Linked DNA regions of Diceros bicornis minor. The protein of the gene in region 1 interacts with the protein of each later gene in a biochemical or structural test. Links are inferred from orthologs where the notes say so. Each region holds a gene or a part of one and is shown in the gene's direction. Other genes may lie near its edges.

What was found.
Region 2: the proteins of SMAD3 (region 1) and MECOM form a complex in vitro, tested with the Homo sapiens proteins (2 studies listed by BioGRID). The link is inferred for Diceros bicornis minor from reciprocal best matches to the Homo sapiens genes SMAD3 and MECOM.
Region 3: the proteins of SMAD3 (region 1) and TGFBR1 form a complex in vitro, tested with the Homo sapiens proteins (2 studies listed by BioGRID, with this or other methods). The link is inferred for Diceros bicornis minor from reciprocal best matches to the Homo sapiens genes SMAD3 and TGFBR1.
Region 4: the proteins of SMAD3 (region 1) and ZFYVE9 form a complex in vitro, tested with the Homo sapiens proteins (2 studies listed by BioGRID and IntAct, with this or other methods). The link is inferred for Diceros bicornis minor from reciprocal best matches to the Homo sapiens genes SMAD3 and ZFYVE9.

The regions. Positions count from the first base shown.
Region 1 is NC_080744.1:61,120,879-61,128,368, forward strand, and holds the start of SMAD3 (mothers against decapentaplegic homolog 3), read left to right. Parts: upstream 1-4,487; 5' UTR 4,488-4,976; coding exon 4,977-5,182; intron 5,183-7,490. UniProt on the Homo sapiens protein: Receptor-regulated SMAD (R-SMAD) that is an intracellular signal transducer and transcriptional modulator activated by TGF-beta (transforming growth factor) and activin type 1 receptor kinases.
Region 2 is NC_080754.1:52,324,143-52,331,827, forward strand, and holds the start of MECOM (histone-lysine N-methyltransferase MECOM), read left to right. Parts: upstream 1-4,677; 5' UTR 4,678-4,757; intron 4,758-7,685.
Region 3 is NC_080767.1:9,159,468-9,166,454, forward strand, and holds the start of TGFBR1 (TGF-beta receptor type-1), read left to right. Parts: upstream 1-3,979; 5' UTR 3,980-3,994; coding exon 3,995-4,079; intron 4,080-4,662; exon of another isoform or gene 4,663-4,775; intron 4,776-6,987. UniProt on the Homo sapiens protein: Transmembrane serine/threonine kinase forming with the TGF-beta type II serine/threonine kinase receptor, TGFBR2, the non-promiscuous receptor for the TGF-beta cytokines TGFB1, TGFB2 and TGFB3.
Region 4 is NC_080752.1:14,482,408-14,489,842, forward strand, and holds the start of ZFYVE9 (zinc finger FYVE domain-containing protein 9), read left to right. Parts: upstream 1-4,427; 5' UTR 4,428-4,691; intron 4,692-7,435. UniProt on the Homo sapiens protein: Early endosomal protein that functions to recruit SMAD2/SMAD3 to intracellular membranes and to the TGF-beta receptor.

The DNA.
Region 1 (7,490 bases):
ATTCTACTTTCTGTTTCTATGAATTTTACTATTCTAGGTACCTTGTATAAATGGAATCATATAGTATTTGTCCTTTCGTGACTGGCTTATTTCACTTAGCACAATGTCTTCAAGATTTATCCACGTTGTAGCATGTAACAGGATTTCCTTCCTTTATAAGGCTGAATAATTTTTAAGGCTGAATAATATTCTATTGTATGTATATACTACATTTTGTTTATCCATTCATCCATCAGTAGACAGTAGAGTTGCTTCTATCTTTTGGCTATCATGAATGATGCTGCTATGAACACTGGTGTGCAAATATCTGATAAATACCTGTATATACCCAAAAGTGGAATTGCTGGATCAAGTGGTAATTCTACACTTAATTTTTTGAAGAACCTCCACACCGTTTTCCACAGTGGCTGTAATATTTTACATTCCCACCAGCAATGCACAAGGGTTCCAATTTCTCCACATCCTTTCCAACACTTTTTTTCTATTTTTTTTCTTTGATAATAGCCATCCTAACGGGTGTAAAGTGGTTCAATGTGTATTTTTTTATTTATATGACCTCTTTCAAAATGTATACAATTGTTTTGTATATATGTCATTTTTTACATAAGGAGCATTATGTTATTTATTTCATTCTGTGTGTTACTATTTTCACTTGGAATGGTTTTTAAGATTCATCTATTTGTTTTGTGTATACAGAACTCATTACTTCTAACTTTTGCATAGTAGTCCACGGTGAGCATCAGTCATGTCTATGTATACTGAGGATGTACTATGTGCTTGTGGCAAGCTCTCTACACCGATTATTTGATTCCTTACAGCAATCCTAAGAGGTAGGTGTTATTATTATTCCCATCATATGCATGAGGAAACTGACAAACAGGGAGTTAAGGGACGTGCCCAAAGTCACACAGCTGGAAGTAGTAGAGCTAGAAGTTTAACCCAGCTCTGCCGGGTGCCCCGGGAGAGCTCGCGTGTGTCAGGGGCTACACAGAGCTACAGACCAAGGCTCTCTCTTAGGTGAGGGCACTCTGATGAGAATCCTAGTCCTGACCAGATCCTGACTTATCTCCATATTGCCAATCACCTCCCTTCACTAGACATCACTTTATGTCTCTGCAAAATGAAGACAGGACAATTTTAATGCTCTTTCTAGAGTCACCACTTGTTGATTAAACCTCCGTTAGCTAATGGAAAAATAATCAGAACTGAAGTCAGGTGTTCGTTTCTTTCCAGTATTCCACATGGGAGCTGCTCCAAACACACAAAAACCCTTTGGCAAGTCGGCTAGTGAGGCAATTCCCTGATAGGACTATTCCCAGGGAAACGGAGTTGTTGCCTCCGGCCCCATCCCACCTCTCTTGAACTTTGCACTTACCATGATGAAAAATTAACCGGGCAAATGTTTCCCTTCCAAGGACAACCTCTACAAAAGCCTGCCTGGCTGGGCCCCAGGAGACCAGGCGCCAGAACGGAGTTCCTATGCATCCAGAGCCACCCACCCATTCACTGCCCAAAGTCAAGGGAGCATTTGGGGTCCCCCTGGCACTGGGAGGAATCCATTCCACAGCCCTCCTCGCTGCTTTGTGAAACGGGGCTTCTTCCCTTGAGTCTTCTCCTGGAGAAAGCGAGGCCAGAGGAGCAAGAACTAGCCCAGAAATGGGACTTCTTGGACTCACACCTGGGTCCAGCACTGTTTTTCTGCGTTCACAGCTGTCCGTGTCACATGGATGCCTGCATGTGAAGAAAGTGCAGGATAGCATGGTTCAGCTGCCCTAACTAGCTGCTGACTAGTTATTTCCTCCCCTCAGGAAAATGAGAGGGCTGAACAAGGGGCCCTTCCAATGCCATGATTTTAGGGGTTAGGTACACGCTAGGCCCATCCACTATATTTAATCCTCAGATCTTTTCTCCTTACTCCATAGTGCATATCACCTCCCTTCACCAGATACCACTTCTGCCTGTGTAAAATGAGAGGCTTGCATTGGAGGAGAACAATTTTAATGCTCTTTCTAGATTCACCACTCTGCACAAGAAGAACGGTTTGCTCCACTCTTATAGCTGAAAGAGCAAATGCTCAGTGAGGTGAAGGGAGGGAGAGAGCCAGGATTGAAAGCCAGCTTGGTCACTGATGGAGCTTGACGTCCTTTTACTTTATCTGCCTGCCTCTCAACAGTTGGACCTGCTTGATTTGATGTTCAGGTTAAAATTAATGTTCTACCAGGAGATAATGATTGCAAGGGCCCCTTTCTCCCAGGCACACACCTGCCACCCCTTGGTGTTTCTCCAGGCTGTGAGGTCCTTGAGGTTAGGCACTTGCATCTTTCATTTCAGCTTTCCCAGAAATGGGTAGGAGGACTGAAACACAAAGGTTCTCCATAGATCCGCCTCGAACGGAACCGAGCTCCCTCATCCGCACTCTGTGACAGGCTCTCCACGGCATTTCAGTGACCCCAAGGTGTGGTCCTATTCCTTTACAACACTTGACTGTTTGCATTAGATTTCAACAACCACCCTAGGAGGTGGAGAGCAAAGCTATTTGTAGCCCCATTTTACAGGTGAGCAAACATTTCTTGTAGAGGCACAATAGCGAGCCTGTGTAAAGAACTTTTGTTTTGCAAAGAGCTCTATCAATGATGTCATCTTTGCCTTCCACAACTCTATAAGGCAGCTAGCTGGGTGCAGTGGCAAGAACTGGGACTGAAGCCTCACAATGCGTGGGGTTCAAATTCCAGCTGTGCTGCTTGGAATCCTGAGTAAGTATTGTAATCTCTCCGCACCTCAGGTGCCTCCTCTGTGAACGGGAGGCAGAGGGACATCCACCTCAAGGGCCATTGTGAGGATTAAATTAGATGGCAGCACTTGGGCGACTTGGAATGAAGAAAGCCATCAATAAAGGTTGATTGCCTTCCTTCCTTCTCTTTTTTGATGAGGGCTGGGAAGAAGGGAGTGAAACCTAAGACCATAGCAGCTGCGGGTCAGCTGGAGGACCAGCAAGGAACAGGAACCAGGTCGTTAAGCCTCAGTTGGGGTTCAGGGATTCTCCTTTAAGGGCCAAGCAGGCGGGGAGTCAGGAGGGGAGGGCAGAGAGCGCAGCGCTCAGTGGCAGCAGCTGACAGGCCTGTGGGAGGCCGTTCTCTCCACAAGGCAGGGACCCCTGCAGCTTCTGGGCTGACTTTGTGGATTCAGCCACACCTCACAGGGTTTTGTAACTCCCCACTGGCTTGAGGGTTTGCAGATAACTTCTTTCTCACCACGGGGGTTTCCTGCTGTTAAAAATAAACAAAGCTCTTAGACACCGGGCTAGAGGCCTGGTAGGGGAGGGTCAGCAGAGGAAGGCCCTGGGGCTTGGGGTAACTCCTGAAAGCAGCCGAGGGGTCTGTGGGCAGATGCCCCTGAATTCTGCTGGTGGGGAGAAGAGCCCCCGAGCCCCCCAATATCCCGGTGTTTCTTTGCTTCCCACCAAGGCTAACTTTGAACACATCGACTTCCCGAGCACCGCCCTTTTGCCCCACTTTTTGCGAGTTCACAGCTTTGGAAACAAAGCTCTCTCTCTTTCTGTTTATTGGGTGTCGAATTTCGGATCTTTCTGTATCATAAGATTCAAAACACCCTGCAATGTCATTTTTCCCCCAAGATAAATTCTAAAGCGTCCCGATTCATTCCTTCACGAATTCAACAGATGTCTTTGAGGCCTATTTTCTGCCGGGCACTTGATTCACAAAGCCCAAGGGACCCCTGGCTCCAGCTATTACCTAGGGTGTCACTGGAGTCCCCAAATCTCCCCTTCTGAGAGCCCACTTCTTCCCCATCCCAACTTCCTCCTTCGCACACAGCCTTGGGGCTCTCAGCCGGTGTGATCTCACCGATGAGAGAATCAAAACAGCCCCCGGGGCGCCAGCGCCGGCCAAGGCCCCGGACCGGGATCAGCGCGCGCGCGTCCACGTGCGCCACCACTTCCCGGGGCTCAGCGTTCCGTGCGCCCTCTCTCGGACCCGGGTCCTCCCAGGGGTACATCGCCAGCCTTTGGTCTGAGGGCGCTCATTCGCTGCGAGTCTAACCCTCTCCGGCCGGCAACTCCAACTGAGCTTCCCGAGTGTGGGTTCCCAGAGCGGACGCCACCGCCCGAGCCCAGCCCTCCCGCCTAGGGCCCCTCTCGCCGCTCCTTTCCCACGACTTCCTCCCGGCGCCCGCAAGACTTCAGGTCCGGGCCGCGCGGGGTCCTACGCGCTCCAGCCAGGGCCGCCGCTGTCCCCGGCCGCCCGCGTGGGCGTGCGCTGCGCCGGGCGGGGGAAGGCCGGGCGCCCTCCCGGACGCTGGAGGCGGGCCGGGCGCCCGGGGAAGGAGGCGGCGGGGCGCGGGGGAGGAGGCGGGGAGCCCCGGCGGCAAGGGGGCGGTGACAGCGCCTGGAAAGGAGGCTGCACGCGGATTTGCATGAAACACAGACTGGGAGCGGGCGGGAGCGGGAGCGCGGCGCACGCCCCGGGCCGGCCCAGCGAGCGAGCGAGCGAGGGAGCCGGGAAGGAGGAGGGAAGCGGGGAGGCGAGGCTGCTGAGGCGGAGGGATCTGCGCATCAAAGCGAACAAGGCGAGCAAAGTTTGGCTGGGGGTTGGACTTTCCTTCCTGGAGGCGGCACCCAAACAGCTACCCCGTGCGGAAACCCAAACTTTCTTTTGCCACTCCGAGTCTCGCGGCCGCCGCCTCCGCCCCGCGTTCGGGGCCTGCCCGACCCCGCGCCGCTGTCGGCCGCCTGCCCGTCTCCCCCGCCGGCCTTCTCCCCGCCGTGGGAGCCGCTCGGGGCGCAGGGCTGCGCGCCGAGCCCCGCAGGCTGCAGCGCCGCGGCCCGGCCCGGAGCACGGGCAAGTTCGCCGAGAGTTGAGGCGAAGTTTGGGCGGCCGCGGCCGGCCCCGGCCGAGCGCCCCTCTGCGCCCCCGGCGTCCCACCGCGCGCAGCCCCGCCGGGGGCGCCCTCCCCCAGCCATGTCGTCTATCCTGCCCTTCACCCCGCCGATCGTGAAGCGCTTGCTGGGCTGGAAGAAGGGCGAGCAGAACGGGCAGGAGGAGAAGTGGTGTGAGAAGGCGGTCAAGAGTTTGGTCAAGAAGCTCAAGAAGACGGGGCAGCTGGACGAGCTGGAGAAGGCCATCACGACGCAGAACGTCAACACCAAGTGCATTACCATCCCCAGGTGGGGGTCCGAGCGACCCGGGGGCGCGCCCGCCCAGCCCCCTGGCGTGGCGTGGCCGGCCGGGTGGGGTTGGAGCGGGAGGGAGAGTGTGTGTGTGTGTGTGTGTGTGTGTGTGTGTGTGTGTAAGGGGGGGTGGGAGCGCGGACAGAAAGGGGTTAGAGGGGACCCCAAACAAAACCTTCTCTGGATTTGCAAAGATTCATCAGAGCCTGGGGCTTCCACGCGGCACTCTCACTTCCAGACCTCACATTCGCTTTTCACCTCCGGGAAACGGGGGTGCTGCTGGAATTGGCCACCCCCACTCCGGGGAGCTGCGGGCTAGAAGTTGAGGCCCGCTTTGTTCAGCTCCGCGGGCCCGAGCCCCTCCTCCGCCGCCGCCTCCCGCCCCCGCGGCCCGCGCTCGTGGAGGTGGTGGTGTCTCTCCCTTTCTTTTCTTCAGTCTTGTCCCCCCACTTCTTTCCTCCTCAACAGGAATGCAGTCCGTACAGCTGGGGCTGTGGGTGAGGAGCGGGAGCCTCATGATTGACAGATTCCTTCTTCGTTCTTGCTTTGCCTTCGGGATTAGCATTTTTATCGAGTATTTTTAGACTCGGTTGTGCCAGTCTCCCGCCCCCTCCGCACACACGCACTTTAGTTGCAGTGCAATGCTCTGACTTTCAAATGAGAGACAAGTGGCAGAGAGTAGGGTCTTCTTCCCCGCCTCCCCCGACTGTTTTTGCTCTCCTTTGAGTCTGAGATTGCGGGTAGATGCAGAATAGAGGGGGCTCAGAGCCAATGAGATAACAAAACGCACCCCAAAGTGGGCCTCGCCTCGGCCCTCGCATTCCTGCAGAGCCCTCCTTCCCAAAGCGCTTTGCCATCTGTCTGGACCTCCTTTATCCTCCACATTGCGCTAGCTAGGTCAGGCGGGAGCTCACAGATGGCTGATAGAAGGGGTCAGTGACTTCTCTGCATTCCCCAGGGCCTTCTCTTAGCTTAGCTGCGCCTGGCTGAGAATTAGGGGGTGTGTGTGGGGGGGTTATCTTGGCCTTCTGTCTCTCCCTCTCAGCCCCCTTTAAGGTCTGATTCTGCGCCAAGGGAGTGTGTGTGGGGTGGGGGATGTCCTTGGGGTCCCAGGCTGCAGAGGAATGAGTAGAGGGTCCCCAGGGCCTGAGCCCTGCAGAGATTGTCATCCTTGCTCCTGGGCCGGCAGTGGACTCCATCCTTGGCCACCTGCTCGGGGCAGCTGTGCAAGGGCTGCCAGTGGTGTCAGGCAGGCACAAAGCAACATCTGTCCGTGGGAATCCGGGGCAGGCCTTCTCTGGAAATGAATGCCACATATGGTGGGAGTGCTGACTTAAAAAATAATAATTTTTTAAAAAACTGGGTGGATCTAGTCAACAAAGGGGGAGCGAAGGCAGTGTGGTGTCTGGGAAGTGCGCTCTGGGCGTGTGATCTGGAGCCAGAATGGACTTCAGAGGAGGTGGTGTGATGTGGTGGTCAGTGAGCCCTGGGTTCTGGTCCCAGCTCTGGTTCTTAGTTCTTCTTTATCCCTTGGGTTGGGGGTTGGGAGTAGGGTGAATGAGTGTCCTACTCCGCCCCCCCCCCCCGGGGGGAGGGGTTTCCAAAACCTGTCTTCTTACCTGCCTGGGTGCATTGATAATAAGTGCTTTATGCCTTGAAACAGAAAGAAAAGATGGTATCAATTATAAAACGAGCAGCTGCATGAAGTGTTTTCCAGTTTACAGAGCACTTTCACATGGTTTTATGAGATCCAGAAAGAAAGAAACTCCTGGAAAACAGATAAAGCAGTTAGGCTTAAGATTGATCTCACTTTTAAAGTTGAGAAAACTTTGGAGGTGAGAGGTGGAAAGGCTTGACATCGCAGACATGGGATTCTGACCAGAAGTGCTCCTTCTCCTACCCCATGCTGCTCTTCACCTTGAAGTTCTGGGTACATTCTTTCCTGAATGCCAAAGCACTGTTAGCTAGGGGGTGAGGACTGGAGGGGGGGCAGTGTGGATCTTTGTTGGTAAGATTGCTGATGTTGAATCTGTGGGCTGGTGACAGCCTGGAGGAGAGGCCTGGCTTCCCCTGGCCTTGGTGGGAGTTTCCCTCTGGGGGAGCATGGCTCTGGCCTGCCTCCAGGGTCCTGCAGCCTGAGGCCTATGGATGCTTTGGTGTTTCTGCGAGTTCAGGCTAACTTGCCCCCTGGCTTTCTCATGACTCTGTTAGGGCCTCTGGTTGCATCTGGAGGCATCTTCTACCTGCCTGGCAAGGACTTAATGCTGAGGCAGATTTTTTTCATCTTTTCTCAGCTAGGGAAACC
Region 2 (7,685 bases), on another chromosome or scaffold:
CATTAATTTCCATGGTAGATGAAATAAGAAAATAAGGAAGGTGGGGTTGGGGCAAGTAGAAATTTCAAATCCAGCAGAATTGAACAGTTCTGTTGCATCTAGTATCAACATGCTGTGTTTGGGAGAAGGACCTTTCGGTGCAACTGCTTGTCTGTTTCAGAAAGAGAATCAGTTTTCTCCAGGAGCTGGCTTCTAAGACTGCAGGTTTACTGGCTGAGGGGGAACAGGAAGGCAAGGAGGGCACCCAATAAAAGATAAGGATTATTTTCCAAAAAGGCCTGGACTAACCGATACCTGAACCTGGAACATGATCTCCCATCTATCTCGAACTTTCCCATAGATTACTGATTCCCCTCCATGGATTTTGACCCTCTTCTTATTTAATCCCCGTGTTATGCTAGGCTTTGCTATCATGCTAATCTCTTCCATTTCCTCATTTAGCAATTGACAGGACCTGGATCCATGGGATCTGTGATGGACTGGTCTTGGTGGGAGAGTCCACTGGTATTTGTTCAATGTGTTTGCAATACAGCCGAATGTACCATCCGTGAGATTTGCTTTAACTCTTTGGGAGGGCAGAAGCCAAGTCTTACCCTGTAAAATAATAAATACGTTTCAGATAACACATCCTTGCACTTTTTTCCTAGAATAATTGGAACATTCATACAAATAGATTTAGTCTCCTTGTAGTTTATTTAATTGCCTCTGTTATGAAAGACTTATAAACATGTCCATGCCATCTAATCTTTCTGATTCTCAGTTTGTAAAATGAGGGTGTTGAACTCTACGATCTCCAAGGTCTTTTCCTACTCCAAAATTCTGTGACCCGATACTTCTATTGTTTAGACAAAAAATAGGTCTGTTCTGAAATGGTCTGTGTTAGGCAGCAATCCAAATGGACTTTTTAAGAATTCACATACAAAAAAAAAATATTCTCACATAGAGTTCTATAGGATGAAGAGAGGGCCCATTCACTATTTGTTTGCTCTCTGTGGGAAAGCTATTCTTTTTTTTCCTCTTTGAACAATATAAGGAAACAACTTATCTTTTACGATTTTTGGATTCAGTTCATGGAGGGTGTCAGTATTGTCTAGTGTTCCCAACGGGGATGTGGGAGTCAGAGATGCCAGGACTTGTTCCCAGCTTTTCTGCTCCTTATGTGACCTTCAGAAGCCACGAAACGACTCTTAAGACTCAGTTTATCTGCCTGAGAAATTGGGCTCCTCTGTCTTTACCACAGAGAAAACCGAGTCTTAAAGTTTTTGGAAAAGGATTACAGCAGCCTAAAGGGTTAAAATGATCATCTTTAGTCTTTCAGAACATTTATGGATCCCGCTCTCAGATGCTTCTCTACTGCCTAGCATGAGAAGCTTTTGCACAAATACTGTAGGATATAGCATCACAGACCTAATTCAGAAACTGTAAGAATTCAACCAAAATCGGTGGCCTGAACTGGAGGTGACCCTGAGTATACTCGAGAATAGGTTTGCTGTGTAAAGTATTAATAAATAAAGTTGCAAGATAAGGGAATGCAGAACTTAAGAGGGGACAGGGGGACAGAAGGGGATGGCCAAGCCTGAAGAGTTTGTTATCAACATCCACTTCTACATCAACAGTTACCATCTTAATAAAATGAATCTTAGCTATTGATTAGGCTGAGGAAATTCTTCTATATTACTGCAGAGATATTCAGAAATAACCAAAAACTAGAAACAACCTTTCTATATGATCTGGTCAATTTTTCAGATAAAAGTACTTAGGAAAGTGCAAACCAGTGTGACAAACTTAGTATGATTTTACCAAATTAACATGAATCAGTGAAGTTTTACTATTGCCGGAAACTTGAAACAATCCAGGTGTTCCTAAAATCTGATGTTCAGAGTGGAAAAATAATACTGCCTGCAGTTTCACAGCGACACTGCTTGCTTCAGAAATCACCAGGTTGTCAGTTCAAATCCATCCCTAAAACCTTCCTCCACAAAATATACCAGGTCAGGGAAATAATTATGGTGTGAGGAGGAACCCCTCGATTATGTTTGGTGATCTAACTGGAATGTCGAATCAGCTCCTGTGAATGAGAGCACAGTTAGGTTGGCATGATCTCAGTAAACATGAATGAGCATCAGATTTCCCAAGCACACGAGGAAATGTGAAATGCTCTCAAGCAACCTTCCCAGTTCAGATGGAAATAGCCATTTTGGATATGTACTCCTTCGGCTTTTGTATAAGGGAATCAAGTCATCATTCAGTCAAGTTTAAAAGCTGCGCTTGAGCTGCCTTTTTGAGAGGCGAAGACATGCTGGAGCTGCACCACGATTCATCATGTTCAACTTCATTTGGTGGAAACATTACAAGGGAATAGGCTCTCAGTCTCCTAGGAAGTGCCTCGGCTCTACGTTACTTCCCAATCACGCTGCTTACCACTGCCCCTTTATTTCTTTGTAGCCTGTACCCTTTGTATAGTGTACATTGTACAGGCTACATTGGATCCAGAGGCCCCCATCCTGTGAAAAATTCAGATGGCTAGAGCAGTAATCAAAAATACCAATAAAGTGTCACCGGTCCTCGCTGGTGATATGGGATGGCGGGTGAGTGAGATATAAAAATGAATCATGAGGCGAGACATGATTGCTGCTCAGGCAACCACTTCCAAATGTGAGTGCACCCAGGTTGCATAAATGGTTCGGAATATTCTCCGTTAGGCCAAAAGGCTTGCAGATAATGGCATCAACTCATCAGGCTCCAAGGCCCCCAGGGACCCGGGAGGCAGAAGAGTTGTTGCTCAAGTGGTTGAGCCAAAAACATTTATGTCCGGGCACTGTTGGGTAAGTGGCATCTGCTGACAGGAACGGCTTGGAGTAAAGTTGGTTTTAAAAAATACGCACCACAGCCCTATATGTTTAATACAGGAAGCTGTCTGAGGTGTAAAGAATGGTGAAGTAAATGAGCGGGATACCATTAATCTTGGTTTGTTTCAGCACTACATCTTGAGCAGTTGAAGGGGGGGTGGGTGGAGAAAAAGACTTGCTCCTAGCTCATAACCTGAGTGTTAAAACTGATGTCCTTCCCATTAGGGCCTGTAAACTCATTAGCACATGGCAATTTATCCTCTTTTATTTGTTCTCAATTATCCTATCATCCATTGTATCTGGGTCTGATTACCCTTTCCCAGAGTCAAACATTATCTTGTAAATCATTTGCTTTAAGTCCAAGCCTGCCATTGCACTGCCTGGGATTTGCTTAGGCAGGTAATAAATCAATTAGTATTAAACTTGTGGTGTCATCTATTTTCTTTCCTCGTGCTTGGAAAGAGGAACACCTGAAACCCTAGCTTCGGTTACATCACATTTCTGTGCATGCTTTTGAACAATGCAGAGACGTTTACTCTTGTTTAAGGAGAAGGAAAGATAAGGGAAAACAAAACAAGGATTCCACATCCTCAGTGTGTGCCTGGAAGGCTGATGACATCATAGGTATGTGGCCCACGTATTTCAAAGGTGATACTTTTAGCAATAATTGGGAACATCTATTATTTAAACGCGGACATCAGAGATTCTGTTTAAGGGATAGTCTGATTTTTATGTCCAAAACACAATTATGGACCCAAAAGGAAGATGGTCGTTCATTTTTTTGTTCTATTATTCTTTTATGTACATACTACTTCTTTGCACACATACAAATTGGTCTGATATAACCAGACAAGAGGAGCAGAGTATTTTTTAGATCGTTGTCCTTTCCTCCCCTATACATTCTAAAGGGTATCTCTTCTCCCTTTAGGTAGTGTACTAATTTACTTATTCATTTTATCTTCATGCCCTGGATCTAGTTTTCAGTCCTTTGGGTGAGTTTCTGCACAGGGAGCCCAACCAAACAATCGTAGCTCAAAAGTAAGCCCTGTGAGTTCCTAAATTAAAGAGAAAAATCCTCTTGGGTATCTCAACAACCAGTAGCCTCTGCTAAGTGATGCCCCGTGTATGGGCTATAAATTAGTGGAGATCTTTGCCCTCCTGATTGGGAAATGGTGCCTGAAAGGGACTGTCAGACACATGGCAGGACCCCATCAGGGGAGCTGCTTCCAGCCTTGGAGAACAGTGGTAGAACCATGAAGAGGGCTGGAGCACGATGCAACTGGAGTGACTGGAGGACAATTAAAAATATTTAGTTCTGGGTCTGGCTACTTGGACTGCAGACAACCTGGCTCCCTGGATGTACTTTCTTCTCCAGCGTCCTTCTGGAATCTGCCCCACATCAAGTGCTTCCTGTGGTTCTTTTGGTTTCAATCCTTCGCTTTCACCCGGTGAGAACATGCATGGACTCTTCCTCCTATGGGTCGAAGGATGAATCCTGATTTAGTATCCTAATTTGTTTATTACTGATACTGGTTAAGCCCTCAGTGCCTAGAATTATGGCAGGCATAGGCTCTAAGAGAACCATGTAGCCATGTGTTTCCACTCTTACAGAGGGGCTGATGGAGACACTCAGGAATGGTGCGAAGCCCTTCCCCCAGAGCAGGGAATTTGAATCATGGGGTGGGGCTTGTTCAAATGCAGTCTCTGATTCGGTAGGTCTGTGATGGGCCTGAAATTCTGCATTCCTAACAAGCTCCCAGGTGGAGTGGATGCTGAATGGCCACGGCACTTTATATTTTCTTTTCTGGTGGCAAGAGTAACTTTTCACCCTATCACAGCCGTCTGCCAATGCATCCTCTGTGCCCTACAAGATACCAAGCTCCTTGAAAACAGGACATGACTACCTTGGTGAGTATATAATGATTAATTGCCTTGATTTGGGAACTAGGGGGTCTGGGATCTAAACTCACTTCTCTAGCAAACTAGTTTTGTAACGTTGATCACTTCCGCTGAAATTGTAGAAGATCTCTCTTTTTTGTGCAGTGAGGGAGTTTGGACTAGATTTTGGGTATTGTATAAAAGCAAGGGCAGGAGTGAGGTAAGAAATGTGAATGAGGGAAAGAGTCATGTAGTGATCAGGGAAGATCCAAGAAAGATTGTGATGTCTAAAGGGAGCTCCCTCCCTTGTCTCTCTCCTAGGGTGTGGATCCCTTGTTGCCAGACCTTACAAATTTTTAAGAAGATAGAAATCTGATTTCTTATTAGTGTAAAATCTTCTTGCTTTTAAATGTTGATGAGTAAAATGATTTTTTTTTTTTTTTTGCTCAAGAAGATTAGCCCTGAGCTAACATCTATGCCAGTCTTCCTCTGTTTCGTATGTGGGTCACTGCCATAGCATGGCTGATGAGTGGTGTAGGTCTGCACCTGGGATCCGAACCTACAAACCTGGGCTGCCAAAGCAGGGTGCACCAAACTCAACCACTAGGCCATGGTGCCAGCCCCCTAAAATGAATTTTTTTTAAAGGAGAAGAGACACACTGGGGATGACATACTATACTTCTGCAGGCCAAAGACTACCCACAGGCCACCAGTTTGCAGGCCCTAGCCTGGACTAGGCTCAAAAGCTTTCTTCCAGTAAACACATAGGAACTATGTTCACAAATGTTAGTCAAGCTAAACCAATGAAAACAACATTTCTGATGGACCAATCAAACCATCTATAATGGTGGAGTGGAGGTGGCCGGTGTCTCAGTGCTTTGGGCTTTCCTGAGTGCCATACATAAGATGGATGGAGAGGCTGGGCACCAGGCGCCAGCAGGTTACATGAGCTCTCCTGGGGGTATTTGCTCCACCTGTGACTTGTAGTTTGGTTTGTTTGTGTGTTTACTGTCCTAGGAGTTGCCAGACATGCTTCTGGTCTTTGAGGTGGTGATACTCGTGAAATGCTCAGGAACCGTGAGAGTCCTTCTCATAAAGATGGCTTTTAGGATAGTTCAGGGGTAGTGACAGCTCATCAGTCACAGAGTAATAATCTTTACCTTTAACTTCTTCTAAGACCTCTTAATAGGAACCACTCGTTCAATTGTCAAACTTTTTCTATTGACTCAAGTGCCATTAGCAGCCGTGATTAGAGACCATCACACTTTTCCCCAGAGGTGGCTCAGTATAAATGAGGAGACAACATTATGTTAGCATGGATATGGACATCCCTAAATTGGCAGAGTGCAGTTCTTGGTATAACTTCATTTGGTTGCAGAAGAGAATCCAAGGTCACACAAAGATTATTGTAAGAGCTGTATCTTCGACAATTGTCCACAATAGGTCCATACTAGTCATCATTTTCTGATGTTCTATTTTTCTGACTTGAGTTCTCTGGAACTAACCTTATAATGACACTTAGCCCATTTAAAGTTCTTTTTTTTTTTTTCATCTCTCTTCAGTTGGGTAATTGTTCCGTTCACATTATGGAGATGTGTCATGTCTTGAATTTTATATCCTGGAAAACATGTAGTAAGTCAAACTTGTTCAGACATGATGACACCACATAGACATGGCTGATTGTAAGAGGAGACAAATAGTTTAGGCTTAGATGTGAGAGAAAAACTGGGGTTACTGGCAAGCATTAAATATTTATAAAGCAGCCAATCTTTGGTACTCGTTGGGGAGTGTTTTTGCATGAGGCATGTCAGGCTTTATAATTAGTTATGGAACTTAGTATTATTTGAGTTTTTGCCATGCTATTTTCTTCCTATGAAGGATCATTATTTTAAATGTGTAATAAGAAGAAAGAAATATAGTTTGGGAAAGTGGTAACTTTTCATTTTTTGAATTTTTGAATAATAATTTATGTTACAGTCTAGTAGTGACTTTGAATTTTTTTTATTATCACATTTTCAGGGATGATGTTACACTAAAATAAAGATTGTGAACTTCAGTGTAAGATAAAAAAAATTCTAAATTCAGATAACTTTATAACATTTCTCTTAAAGCTTCTCTCTCCATTAGGAATAACAAAAGCAAAAATAAAAACACAAATGAAACAAAACAAGGCTCCCATTCTCTTCTTGGCAAATAACTGTATTTTGATTATTAGCAGAAATGGCTTCGCTAGTGCTTATGGCATTTGTAAATATAGTTAAGAGAGGGCTTTCTTTTCTGAAAGAAAGTTGCTACATTACAACCATAAGTTGCTATAACCTCTTGAGGGAGAGGGGAAAAAAAAAAAAACAACAAACCCTCAAACCTTAATAAAAGTTCCCAGCAAAACCGTTAGGGATTTCAATTATGAAGCTGTTCTCAAGATTCTTGTAAAGGTTATTTGTTGAACAATTTCTCTGTAACAGTGTATGACAAATTACTCGCTTGGCACCGTGAATGATACACAAGCCCTTTAATTAGAATATAGCACTCGATGTCTTTAAGACCTTCTAACATTTCTTAGTTATATTATTCCTCCCACGCCTTTCCAAGGAGATGTGGACTTGTTTGCAGAGTCAAAATGGGTGATGGAGTAGGGTGGACAGAGACCTCGCACTGGGCTGGGAAAATCCAGAAGCCACACAAAGAAAGGAAGGCTCTGACCCCAACAAGTTTTGATTGCAAAGGCGACTCTGATAACAGAGTTTTTTATTATCCATTGCTTTTAGCCTTATTTACCATCAGACTCTCTTGCCACGAGCATGCTTTTTAGTTCTGACAGCCCTGAATTATGGCCATTGTGGGATCCTATCTCATTAACTGAAATGGGAGAATAAAACATCAAACAATCATAAAAATAATTTGGCACTGTGAAACCACTTAGGAGCAGCTGTCAAACAGGTTGGAAGATAAACTTCT
Region 3 (6,987 bases), on another chromosome or scaffold:
AACACGCCCAGGCAAGCCTGCTTCAGCATGAAAAACCCCGTAGAGGAGCTGATCCAGACCATTACAGATCTGTTCAACTCCCAGTTGACCTGCTAGCTGACAGCAGACTCATGCGAGCTCGGCTGAGGTCAGCGTCAATTGGCCCAGACCAGAAAAACTGCCCAGCCTACACAGAGTCTCATGAGGAACACATGGTTATTATTCTAACCACTAAGTTTTCAGGTGATTTGTTATTCCATTAGGAGCACCAAGAGCTAGCAATAGACAATAATGGTATAAGTCAATAATATCCTGTGGGTTAAAAAATAAGATAGAAATAAAATACACAACAATGATAGCATATGACTAGAATTGAAGTGATTTAAGGTTAAAAAAAAAAAAAAAACAGAAGAGGAAGATGTTTATTTTTCTCATATAGTAAGGACTCCAGGGTAAGCATTTTAGAGCTGGCACAGTTGCTCAAGGACTTTATCAAGGACCCAGACTCTTTCCACTTTTCTCTCTACTATTCCTAGTTATAGCCAACATCCTTATGTTCACAAGATGGCTGCTGCACCTCCAGGCAATGCAACTGTGTTCCAGGCAGAAAGAAGGTGAAAATGTGATGAGTCTGTCTCTTCTTTACAGGGAAAACAATATCTTTCCCACAAGCTCTACCCGGTAAACTTCCGCTTATATTTCACTGGCCAGAACTCTGTCACATAGCCATATCTAGGTGCCAGGAGCCTGGGAAATTGAGATTTTTACCTAGGTGAACTGCTTTCCTAAAGGAAATGAGGATTCTGTTATAAAGTGAATGTAGGAATGGGTATAGATTAGGCAACCAGCAGTCTTTGCTCTCTGTTTGGGAGAAAACATCTTACTTAAGGGAATAATCCAAAAGGAAAAGCAGACAATGTACTCAGTATAAAGATTGAGAGGTAGCATCACATAGGGGACAAGGTCCTGGAGTTCGTCTCCTAGTCCTGGCTCTGCAGCTGACTTGCTGGGGGACTGATCCTCAGTTTCTTCTCCTTTAAATCAAAATGTTAGAATAACAAACCTGTAACTCTTTTTGAGAGCCCATAGAGACCGTGAAGGGAATTAACATTTATGATAGAGTCTTCATGTGCTATATAGGTCATTTAGACCTTACAACAAATCCATGAGTCAGTGTCATTATCCCATTTCACACCAGGAGATGTGAAACCTCAGACAGATCAAGCAGTGTGTACAGATCCCACAACCCGTAAATGGCAGAGTTGGAATTCCAACTAGGGTCTGAAGGCTTCCAAAGCCAGAGGCTTCTTTCCATCACCCACAGTTTCTCAAAAGGTGAAATAAGTGCGTACATTTTTATTTATTGAATTTTAAGGGCATACTTTCTAAAGCACTGTCTTTCGAAGTGTGGCCTGGTGACACGTGCAACAGAATCACCCGGGGTGTGTATTACAAATGCAGACTCCTGGACCTCCTTCAGATGAACGGAAGCAGCCTCTCTAGGGCTGACACCCCGGAATCTGTATTTTTAAAAGCTCCCCAGGTAATTTGGAGACATTTTAAAGTTTGAGAACCATGATTTTAAACTTATAATTTATTATTCCATTCTAAGGTAGTTTATTCATGGATCCGTGGCTCATGGAAATTTCCTCCAAATATTAGGAAAATAAAATTTAAAAATAGCCTCTTTCTCCTTCCTGTTCCTCAGTGTCCTAAGGAACACTCCATTGCATGGAAAATGTTAAGGAACTGGAAGTGTGTCATAGAAGATATCCTAACGCTGATTAACTGAGGCTCTGCACGGCAAAGGCTTGGATTAGCATGAACACGCATGCTGATTAGAATCATACAGAGCTGGAAGGGGATGGGCAAAGGAAATGGCATTAACTAAATATTTACTATATTCCAGACACATTACGTCATTTAAGGGGCCTAAGACGTGTGATTCAACCCCTTTCATTTATAAATGGGGTAGGTACCATTATATTTCTGTTTTAGAGATGAAGAACCTTGTAATGAGAGAACAGTCACTTGTCCGAGATGAATCATTCATTCATTCATACAATATATATCTCTTGAGCTCTTATGCAAGACGCTGAGAATAGAGCAGCAAAAAAAGCAGTCTTGCGACCTCAGGTGTCACAAGGCCCTGAATGACCCACCAAGTCTCCACTGAAGAAACTGGAACAGAGAGAGCAGACTGGGACTGGAGCCGGCCAGAAGCAGTCTCTCCTGGTTTGGTCAGCCTTCTGCGGCGGGCGAGAGGAAAGCTTGCTGCTGTTGTCTCCAGCAGCCCTGGAGAGCAGGCCGTGACCTGGGTTTTAGCAGTAGCTGCATCCCTGGGGAGGTGGTTCAGTGTATACCAGGCCCTCACCTCTCCAGAGGGGCAGGTGAGGGGTCTGGAGGGAGGGCCTAGAAGTGGAACTTGAAAGCGGGATGTGGAACCCCCAAATCTCATCATATCCTCTCACTTACCTTGGGAGATAGATATTATTTCCATTTTATAGATGAAAGAATGGAGGCTCAGAAAGGCCAACTGACTTGTTTAACTGTCCCAGCCCGGAGGGGAATAGGGCAGGTCTCAGATCCCAGCTCCACGCCGCATCCTGTCGCTTTGCAGCTCAGAAGGGAGGTCTTCACAGGCAGGTAACAGGCTCACGGGGTCGCGCTAAAGTAATTGACAAAGCGATGCTAAGGGCTGGTTCCGATCCCTGCTCCCAAGGTTTATTTCATTCCAAGTTCAAATCACACAGAAAATAAAATTTTCTCCTTAAAAGGTTCTGTGGAAAAATGTTCTGTGTTCTCTGTAGCAGCCTCCTTGGCTGTGTTTGCGTCTGAAGAGAGGACTAGTCTGACAGGAAGAATTACAAATCTGGAGCTCATTTTGGCGTCCCGGGGGGAAGGTGGGTGGAGCGTCTCACAGTCAAGTAGGAGTTCAGAATGAAAACGTAGCCGAGGTTATTTGGGTTTCCAGCGACACCTCAGAATTATTGTGCAGGCGTGTCAGAGGCAGCTCAAAGTAATGACTGCTCCTCTCCGCCCCGGGGGTGCTGCGTGCTAAGAAGGGGAATCCCCCTCCTTTGGGGGGGGGGCCTTCCCTTTCCCACCTGGATCAGGGAGGGGTAAGAGGGAAGGAGTGTGGTTTGGAGCGCCGTTCTGGGTCTGCTCTGAGTTCCGGAGGGAGGCGGGAGGCTATTCGGGGGTATGTCTGAGCTTAGGATGTGAGGTCTGAGGCTGGGACCTGAGGCCAGGATTTGAGGACTTTCTGGGCCTGGAATTTGGGGGGCGGGGAGCCTAGGTTGGGGCTAGACGCTGACAGTGGGAGGAAACAGGAGACTGAGTCGTCTAGGAAGGGCAACGACGAAGAATCTTGGGGGGGATGTTGAAAGTTAAGGCGTGGATCTGGGGAGCGGAAGTTGAAGCCTGCCGGCGGTACTGCGGGTCTGGGTGAATGGGGATGGGTGGTGCAGGGCTGTGAATGGGGGCCGGGGCGGCGCTGGGTCAGTCCCAGATCTTAGGCGCCTAGAGGAGGCTAGAAGAAAAGAGCGTCGAGCCGCCACAGCCCTTTTCCGAAAGCGCCTCACACACGCCCAGACACACCCATCGTCCCGACCTTCCTCCGGGACTGGAAGGTCGCAGGGCAGGGGCTCCCTAGACCCCGGCCCCACCGAGCCTGCTCCCAGCGGCGAGCGGCTCCGGCCGGGACCGGGGTCTGGCGGCACGGCGCCCCGGGAGCGTGGGGGCGTGGCCAGCGGCCGGGCGCCTGCGGCCCCGGATTGGCTGCCCGGCGGGCCCGCGGGCGGGGCTCCGGGCTGGGGCCCGCGCGGCCGCTCGCAGACGGCCGGGGGGCGTGGCCGGCGGGAGCCCGGCAGCCAATGGCCGCGCGTCCCCGGAGCAGTTACAAAGGGCCGGAGCGAGGCCGCCGCGGCGGCGGGGGAGGTGGGGCGAGGCGAGGCTTGCTGAGGCGAGGCGGCGGCCGGGCCGGGCCGGGCCACAGGCGGTGGCGGGGGGGACCATGGAGGCGGCGGCCGCTGCTCCGCGTCCCCGGCTGCTCCTCCTCGTGCTGGCGGCGGCGGCGGCGCTGGTCCCGCGGGCGGCGGGTGAGCGGCGGCGCGGCGGGCGGCGGGGCGCGCGGGCCGGGCCGGGCCTCTGGCTCGCTCCTTCCCTTTCTCAAACATGGCGCGGGGCCGGGGGCGCAGGTGGCGGCGCCGGGGCCGGCGCTGGGCTGTCCCGGGCGGGGCGGGGGCGTGTGTCCGCGCGGGTGGCCGTGCCCGGCAGCCGCGGCCGCCCCCGCTCCCGGGGAGGTGCGTCGGGCGGGGCCGTCCGAGTCGGGGGCTGCCCTCTGAGGGGCGGTGGGCGCGCGCCGAGGGCCGGGGGTGTGAGGCTGGCGGGGCCTGGGGCTGCTCCCCGCGCCCCCGGGGTACCCCACCCCGAGCGGCGGGTGCGAGGCGCCCGGGCGGGGTCGGGGTCGGAGCCTCCAGGCTTCCCCGCGCGGCGGGCGGGGGCGACGTGTGGTGGAGCCCCGGGGTCAGCGGGGCCGCCCTGGCCTTCGGCGCCGGCCCGACCCCGCCGAGGGGGCTGCCCCTCGGGCCGGGCGCGGCTCCGGGGGGGCAACTGCGGAGCTTCGTGTGAGGAGGAGCAGGAGGCACGAAGATGTGCGGAGGGGCTCTCCTTTCGGGCGTCTGGAGGGGTTGAAGTGGATCCGGGAATCAGAATGGTGCAGATTGTTTTCGTAGTAGAAACTTGAACGTTTGCTCACTCTGCGGCGTTTGGAGTATTTGAATGGGAACGACTCTGTGAGTTGATCAAACGCTTTTATTTCCTCGAAGGAACGTCGCTAGTGATGTTCCCTTTCTTGAGTGACAGTAGTTTGAATCAGTCGTCTGTGTAGCTGGTTTTCAAGGGAAAATGTTTGCTCCGTTTTCCGGAATATTAAATCAGGATGGGGTACGTGGTCATCACCTACCGTCGTGCAAGGAGGAACTAAAAACTTTGTTCGCATCCAAACTAAGATAGTCGAAACTAAAATAATAGAGCCTTAGCGTTGGAAACTAAAATACAGTGAAAATACGTTTCTGTTTCTGAAATTGAATACCAGATATTTTAAAAAGCAAAAACAAAAAACTCAAGACTGAGGGTGCCAATTATTACTAACAGCTACTGTCTGTTAAGAGCTGACTATGATGTAGATGCATAAAGTACACCGAAGTACATTATCTAATTCTCACAACTAAGCCCTCAGGGCTAGTGGCATTTGCCCCATTTTATAGATGAGAAAACTGAGGCAGGGGAGAAGTTAAGTATTCAATTACTAAGAGCTGGAGTTAGGGTTTGCACCCAGGGTTCAGTATTCCAAAACCTGTACAAGCTTAGTATATACACCTAACCGTCCTGCATAGCCCATTTTTCTTTTTCAGTCCTGTAACGAGCAGTTGATCTTTATTATTCACATTTAGATTTTGCTCTTGCAATTTGAAAATCAGGTTGGCTTCTTTCTGATTCCTACTGCATTCTTGGAGTCCCTTCACACTGGGCCTGCATTAGAGGAAACAATGGATTTTGGACATTGGCCTAAGGAGGCAGGCAAGATGAATATGTGGACAGCAGGGAGAATCAATATAGTTATGAGTCAAGCATACATAACATTTCCACAACACCATTAACTCAAATAGTGTAGTTCACTCTTTTCCACCTAGCCTAGCACACAGAGTGTTCAGGTATTCAAATAACAGTATTCCCCTTAGTTGATGGACAGATTGCTGAGTCCGCACCCTGGAGGAGCTTACACACTGCACTGGCATGCATGCAACACAAAGCTGATACAGGTGCTGTTGCTTTTGTCTGGACTACCTCAGCTGGTCTGCCTGGCCTCGTTTTAAGAGCTTGCAGTTGTTCCTTATTGTCTGGGTTATCAGTTTTTTATTTCTCTGCCCAGCTTCTGCTCTCTCCCATACAGATTTCTCTAGGAACATGGGTTCCCTGTTCCTGGTACACAGTTTAGTCCCACTACATCTATGTATATAACCCATGTGAGAATGTTGTTTGCTTCCTTTCTGCCATTTCATAACTTTTTTCTTTGAACACTTGCCTAAAACTCAACTCTTCTTTATATTAATGCCTCTTGAATGTCTCCTCTTTGTACGCAGCCATCACTTTAGGCTGCCTGTTATCCCTCAAATCTAGTTGCTTCCAGTGTTTCTCTCATCTAGGCTTTTCTATAGGCTACTGCTAATCTTCCTCAGCCATCCCATAAAGGGTTTACAAGATTTCCCATTTGTATTCAGCAGTTAGAGCAGCGCTTGAAGCTTATGATTAGGGCCATCTCTGAGTATCCAGCCAGAGCTCACTTCTCACTACTGCAAGCCCTCAATTCCAGCAATTTCTGTCTTCCCTCTGACTCCTGACTTGGCAGCTTTCACTGTATACTTAATTTTGCCGCTTCTGGGAGTATGAGGAGAGAACTCGATCCTGACTTCCTATACTGGTTTAGTTCCTGAACTTTCCATTTCCCTGAGCTGTATAGCACTTACAGTTTGTGCTGTCCATTTCTGCTGTCTTGCACTGTTACTTAACTATACTCTTGAACATGTGATAGGTACCGAGAGGGCAAGAGTCATGTCTTTTATTTCCTTTATGCTCTCAGAACCTAGCACTGTGGTTTATATTTTGTTCCACTTAAATGCTTGTTCATTAAGTGAATTGCATTTGACTGAGTATTCCTTTAGTATTTATACTGTTATATGTACAGTTCATGTGATATTAATTGATAATTCTGTGTATAGAATCAGGAAAAGTCGTATGATGTGGTGAAAGAAGCAGTTGGTTATTAGCTTTGGTTATGAGTCCCAACTTCACCTCTAGTTGTGCAGAAAATGGGGACGATACCTGCGTTTCCTAATTCATGAGAGCATGGAGATCAAATGAGAAAGTCATCTTGGAGTTTGAGGTTGCTATTTGTATGGGTAATAATAGGTGGGGCTGATGTTCACCCAGCAATTCCACTGGGCC
Region 4 (7,435 bases), on another chromosome or scaffold:
ACTCTGTGCTGAGACTGGTTGTGGGGACACAGAGATGAATCAAACACTGAACCTGGCTCACAGGCCTCACAATCTGATAGGGAAGACATACAAGTAAACAGATATTAACAGTGCAGTGATGAGTACTTATAAATTGGGAAGCACAAGGATTACTGGAAGCATGGAAGAGGTTTTGTGCCTTTTTGTGAACAAACTTTTACACAGTATATACTCTTTTTTTTTTTCCCCTTTGGTGAGGAAGATTGGCCCTAAACTAACATCTGTGCCCATCTTCCTCTATTTTGTATGTGGGTCACTGCCACAGCACGGCTTGATGAGTGGTGTAGGTCCACACCCAGGATCTGAACCCACGAACCTGGGCTGCCAAAGCAGAGTGCGCTGAACTCAAACACTACGCCACCGGGCCGGCCCTACAGTATATGCTCTTGTACACAAATATAATATTCATCCATTCTTCCTTCCTCTCTCCCTCCCTCCCTTCTTTTCATTCAGTGCACCTGTAATTTATTGAGCATATACCCTAGACCAAAGGATGTGGCAGTGGAGTTGGAGAGGAGGAGAGAAATTCAATAAAAGCAAGAAGTAGAATTTATCAGGCTTAGTAACCAATTGTCCAGGACAGAGACACAAGAGTTAAGGATGACTTCTGTGCCATTCACCAAGCCAGGAAATGGATATCGTTTTGTTCTGAATTTTTTTCCCAGATTTATTGAGGTATAATTGACACACAAAAGGCCTGAATTTTAAAGAACAAATTTTATTTTATTTATTTTTTTTTGTGAGGAAGATCAGCCCTGAGATAACATCCATGCCAATCCTCCTCTTTTTGCTGAGGAAGACCTGCTCTGAGCTAACATCTAGTGCCAATCCTCCTCCTTTTTTTTCCCCAAAGCCCCAGTAGATAGTTGTATGTCATAGTTGCACATCCTTCTAGTTGCTGTATGTGGGACATGGCCTCAGCATGGCCGGAGAAGCGATGCCTTGGTGCGCGCCTGGGATCCGAACCCGGGCCGCCAGTAGCGGAGCGCGCTCACTTAACTGTTAAGCCACGGAGCGGGCCCTAAAGAAGAAATTTTAAAGAGCAAAAAAAAATTTTGTTTGGGGTGCTATACCTTAAACTTACTTGAAGAAACCATTCTTAGAAAACTGGCCTTCTAAGGATGTATATGGTATAAAAATGAAAGTCAGGAGGTTTACCAGGTTGGGAATAAGGAGATATTTTAAAGTCACTGGATAGTAGTGGAAATCAATGCAAAATTGAGAGTGGAGTAACCAAATCAACTGACAGCAGGTCAAAGTAGATTAAAATGAAAAAGAGATTTACAGTAAAGGAGAGGAAAACAGATGAGAGACATTTCAGGAGCAGAGAGCAAACTGGGTAGGAAAAGTCAAAACAATGAAATGAAACTGTAGAAAGGATTTAAAGTGGACTACTATGATCAGGAACGTGGTAATGATGATAAAGGCAGCCACTTTCAGCAACATAATCTGAATAAGGGGAGAAAGTGTGAAGCAAGAGGAAACTGGTCCTGGGAACAAATGAATCATCTTCATGTAGTAGTTACACCCTGGGTAGCAAAATTATTCATAAACAAATGCAGATTTCCTGGAGTGGTAGCGAACTAGGCTTGGAAAGCACAGAGCTAATGTTAGGTTGTCAAATTGATCTAAATTAAAGGGCCCGTTTCTCTAGATTGAAAATTTTTAGCCAACAGTAACTTACTCTCACAGCATTTTCTGAATACCGCAGAAAGAACTGTGAGGGCATCAGATGGGAGACTGAAGGAATCTCAGGGTTTACTTTCAGCTTTTCCTTACATTGGAAGTTTTTCACATGTAAAAGGGTGGTAGTATAGTACTTAATTCACAGAGTTGTTATGAGGATGAATCATAGTTTCCCTCCGAGCCCCAGTTTCTCTTGTTATAAAAAGGGGATAGTGATTTTTTTGTAATGTGAATCAGAAGTAGGCGGCGAAGGCCAAATCCTGTACAGGGTTGTACAGGATCAGCTCTACAATTGATTGGAAGAGAGCTGTTAGGTTATATTTTCTCTAAAGTGGCTGCTCAATTATTATTTGAAAGTTCCCAGAGATCTTATATAATTTTCTCATTAAGCTTTATTATTATTAGGACATAACCTAAGGTAAGGTGAGATTGCCTTATAATTCTTTCTATACAGAAAAACATACTGGGGGCCTTCCCAGTGGAGCAAGCGGTTAAGTGCACATGCTCTGCTGTGGCGGCCTGGGGTTCGCAGGTTCGGATCCCAGGCACGCACCGACACACCGCTTGTCAAGCCATGCTGCGGCGGCATCCCATATAAAGTAGAGGAAGATGGGCACAGATGTTAGCTTAGGGCTGATCTTTCTCACACAAAAAAGAAAAACATGGGCCTGCCCCATGGCTTAGCAGTTAAGTGTGTGCGCTCCGCTACTGGTGGCCCGGGGGTTCAGATCCTGGGCGCGCACCGGCGCACTGCTTCTCCGGCCATGCTGAGGCCACGTCCCACTTACAGCAACTAGAAGGATGTGCAACTATGACATACAACTATCTACTGGGACTTTGGGGGGAAAAAAAAAGAAAAGGAGGAGGATTGGCAATAGATGTTAGCTCAGAGCTGGTCTTCCTCAGCAAAAGAGGAGGATTAGCATGGATGTTAGCTCAGGGCTGATCTTCCTCAAAAAAAAAAAAAAAGAAAAAGAAAAACATACTGGTTCTATGCTGATATCTGCTATGCAACAGAATGTCATAGGATCCAGTGAATTAGACTCTATTATTCTTCAGGAGGGATGTTACATAAATCCATTAGGGAAATTTTACCTAGACTGAGGATGATGAAGAATGATGCACCCATCTTTTGATAGGAAAACATTTACATTTACACACACACACACACACACACACACAGATTGAGAGAGAAAGAACAAAAGCAGATGGGAACAATCTTGAATCTAAGAAAGACTGAGAGGGTGTTTTGGAACCAACACTAATTGGAAGTAACATTTATTGAATACCTTCTATGGGCTAGTTCCTTTACATAAATTATCTCCAATCTTCACAACAACTAACAAGGCAGGCATTAGAAAACAGAGATTCAGAAATATTATGTAACTTGCCCAGGTCATAAAGCTAAACACAACAGATCTGGAATTGGTAGTATCAGGATCTGTCTGCCACCAGTTTCCTGCTGATTCTACTATACCACTCTATGATAAAATAATGTATTCTGAAAAATTTGAGACCAGAGGATTTGGAGAATTTCTCTCTTTCCCTGCTTCCCCCCGACAGTCTTTTTTTTTTTCTTTTCTTTTTCGTTCTGATATTTGCACCCTAGAATCTGAGTGGGATAGAATATGGGGTATCAGTAAACAGAATGATTCCACGGCCCCTGCTATATAACAATTTCCTCAAACTTCCAGTTATAAAATAACTAAGTCATGGGGATGTAACGTATAGCATAGGGAATATAGTCAATAATATTGTAATAACTTTGTATGATGACAGATGGTTACTAGATGTGGTGATTATTTCATAATGTATATAAATGTCGAATCACTATGTTGTGCACCTGAAACTAATATAATATTGTTATGTCAACTATACTTCAATAAACAAACAATTTCCTTCCTTCAGAGCCTTACCTGGGATTTAGCAAGGGTGGAGGGTAGAAGAGAAGGGGTGGGAGTGAGGGAGGGGGTTAGTTAGAAAAGATGGATGGTTCTTTTCTTACCTTTAAGTTGTTTATGAATTCAGGACAACCCGTTGGCTATTCTCTTCTCTTGCTCGGCATATTATTATTTTTTTCTATTTTTGGGGAGGTTAGGGGCTAAAGGAAATTTCTATAATGATCTGCACAGTAGATCCAAAAAAAGTTAAAGTCAAAGGCAATTCCTTCATCTGTTTTGGGAAAGGATTTTGTATGTGTGTGTGGAAAAAGGTTGGTTCTGGGTCACTCTTCTTACACACAGACACGCTGAAGGGATTAGAAGGGCTCCCCCTCGAATCATCAAGAGATGAAAACGAGGAGATTCCCTCATACTCCTGCACTCACGTGAGGGTCCGAGTTGACAAGAACGTTCACGTACCTTCTGGAGAGAAGGAAAAGGAGCAAAGGTGCCTGGGGTCTAAGGGTGGGGTGTGCTGCCGGTTGGGGTGGGGCCCGCCAGGGTCTGTGGGGGCCGAGGGGCTTCTGCCTCCGGGGAGGCGTCCTCAGGGGCAGTCTGGGGGCCGAGGGCGGCGCAGGGAGCGCGGGGCCCCAGCCAGCCTCAGGCCGCGCTCCTTCGCGTCCCTGACGCTCGTGCTCGGGCGGCAGCCGCAGTCCCGGCGCCGTAGCCGGGCGTGGGGTCCAGGGGGCGCTGTGGCCCAGCGGCGCCGGCGGCAGGAGCGGCCACGGCGACGCTGGAGGCTTCGCCGAGGATCCCCGCCTGCAGCACCTCGGTCGTCCCGCCGCAGCCTTGCGCCCCCGGGCCGGCTCGGCGGCGCTCCTCCGGGATCCGTGTGGCTGCGGCGGCCCGGGAGCCCGATGCGGCTCGGTGGGCGCTGGGCCTCAGCAGCAGCGGCGACCACAGCCCCTTCAGGAGTGGGAGGCTTCGCGGCGGCGCCTGGGGCCGCGCCGGTGTCCTCCGGCGGAGGCTGTCGGCTCAGGGACGACCCCCCCGGCCATGCTGAGGCGGCGGCGGCCGCTGGTCGAGGTGAGTGTGGCGCGGTCCCGGGCTCGCTGGCCTTCGGCCTCCCGGGAGGACCCTGGCAGAAGCCCTCTAGCCGGGCGGACGGGGCGTCCTGCCGCTGTGGTCGCCTCCCCCACCCCGCGGCGCTGGAGCCTCAGCCCTTCCTCCCCGCGTCCCCCGAGAGGCTGGAGGCGCGCGGGGGGCGACTAGGCCCCGCGCCGCCGAGGAGCCTTCGCCCCGGCCTCGGTTACGGCGCAGGCTCCTGTGTGGAGCCGGGGGCTGGCGGGGGCACTGGCACCCTTCGTGTTGGCCCCGGGCCGAGCGCAGCCTTCTACCCCGGGCCCTGCACGTACATCCCGGACCGAGGCTGAGGACGCCTGTTTGCAAACAGCTTTGGCTTTTCCGCGCCCCATCCTGAGTCCCGCCGAGTCCCGGAGGGGGGGGTTGGAGGACAGGAGGGCAGGGTGAGAATTGGAGTGCAGAAAGTGCGGGGCCCTGAAAGCCCCTGGTACTCCGGAGTGTCATTCACCGATCTGACTGGGTTGAAAACGACGTTTTGCGTCTTATTTGAGGTGAAATTTCATCACCTGCCGGTAGCTCATCCCTGCCTTCTTCTATTACCTTTTGCCCTTAAGCGTGGTCTGCCTTGGAGAAAGCCCCATCCCAGCTTTGCGATGTTGATGTTAAGTTTCACAATTATAAAAATGTCTTTTTTTTATTAATTACAAAGGTGCGTTCCCCCTACTCCCCCAATAAGAGAGTGTGAATATTTTAATGCCTCAGTCCTTAGTAAAAAAATGTTCCACCTAAATAGATCCATAGACTAGATGACAAGAGGATTTTAAAAAGTCGTGCTGACTATCCTAATAACAGATACCTGACGGAAATGGGACATAGTCTAAATTTTAGAAGTTAAATATTGTGTTCTGGTATTAATGTAAAAAAAGTTAGTGATTACAGTTTGATACCATGTCAGATATGGGTGTTTATGGTTTAAGATAAATGTGGTCACAGGTTATTCTTGTTTTCCTGTTATGTATGTGAAGGTTGTAGGATTGATAAGTACTTCTAAAACTTTTATCATCATGAAAAAAATAAATATGCTTATTGTAGAAAATTTGGAAAGTACAGAAAGGTACTGTATCGACTCGCAATAAATATTTAGTAATGGACGAAAGTAATCCATAGTCTCACAGTTAGTACATTTTGATGGTCATTTAAAATTTAAAATGGGCTTGTACTGTTGGTGATTTTTAAATTATTATTTCTGTATATTAGGTCCAAAGTTGACTGTTTCATTTTACTGTTTCACATCATTATTTGTATAAGACCTATAAAAATGTTTTCGTAAATTGTATTGCAGTCATAGTTGAATTCATCAATAAAACAAAATAACATGAGTAACTACCTAGAAGACCCCTGATTTACCTCCTGTGCAGCGCAGGAAGCTCCTTAGGTCTAGGGAGGTTTGGTGTAGTAAATGTTTTTGAGGACCTATCCTGTTACATGCGGTAACGTTGTATTTTTTTTTTGTAAGATTTTGCTTAAATATTTATAACTAAAAAATTGGCTTAATTTTTTTGGTAGATTAAGTTTTAAAAAATCTAATTCAATTTTTCAGTGTCCCTAAAGACTACCAACATTAGAATCAGCTGAGAGTGTTTGTTAACAATATGCAGATTCTTGGCCTCCCGAATCAGAATTTCTAGGGATGATGATGGCCCAAGGATCTTCATTTTTATCACGCTCCCTTATTCTTAGTCCTACTAAGGTTTGAGAATCAAGTGAACTAACCTTGGCAAGCTGAATGAAAGTATCTGTTTTCTAGCAAAGCTATCAATCTTAAGTGGCAATACAATCATTTCTCATGGCAACAGATAATGGTGGTGTAATCTTAGAAAGAAAAATAGTGATTTTCGAGGGACAGCTGATTCAGTCAGCAAACATTATTGAGAGCCTTTTGTGGTAGCTGTGGTGTTAATAGAAGGATACCTGGCCACTTGTCTTGGCAGTTAATCTCCTTGGACCTCAGTGTCGTTGTCTATAAAATGCAGATAGTTATACTTACCTTGCAAGGCTTTAAGGGTAAATACATCTGAAAGTTTTATAATCTGTAAAAGATCTTTATAAAATTTTAGCTATTAGTATTAAGTGCTAGGTCCTGTCTTTGGTGTTCTGGAAACACAAAAATGACCAAAGTCTCTGCTAGCAACTAGCTAATTGTGGAAGCAGGACATGTTTAATTAACCGTGACAAGGCAGAGTCAGACAGGTGTTGTAATTGAGTGGAACATGCTGGATCTCTCTTTAAGGCTTCTATGTTTTATCCAGTAGCTTGCCCTTTAAGAATATTAATTTTTACGTATGGTCTTTCCTTTCTCTTCCAATTCCTGATTCAGTGTTTTATTCCTTAAGGAGATAATTGTATATGTTGCCTAGTAAATGATAGTTTTATATTAACTCTTTTAGAAAAACAGAATGAGTGGAGATGATCCCATTTCTTCCTCTGTTGCTAAGCTGCCACTGTTCTTTCCATTCAATAAACTTTTATTTGGCACCTGTTATGTGCTGGCCACAGACTAGTTGCAAGGCACAAAGCTTGTTTAAAAGATAACTGCCTGAATTTTAACTTAAATTCTTATGTTCCTAAAGGGATGAGTGTGTTGTGTATTTTATGGTTGTTAATTGCATGATGGTGGTGCAGAGTATGGAATCAGATGTGGGCAGGAATCCTTACTGCAACCCTTAGAGCAACGTAACATTTAGATC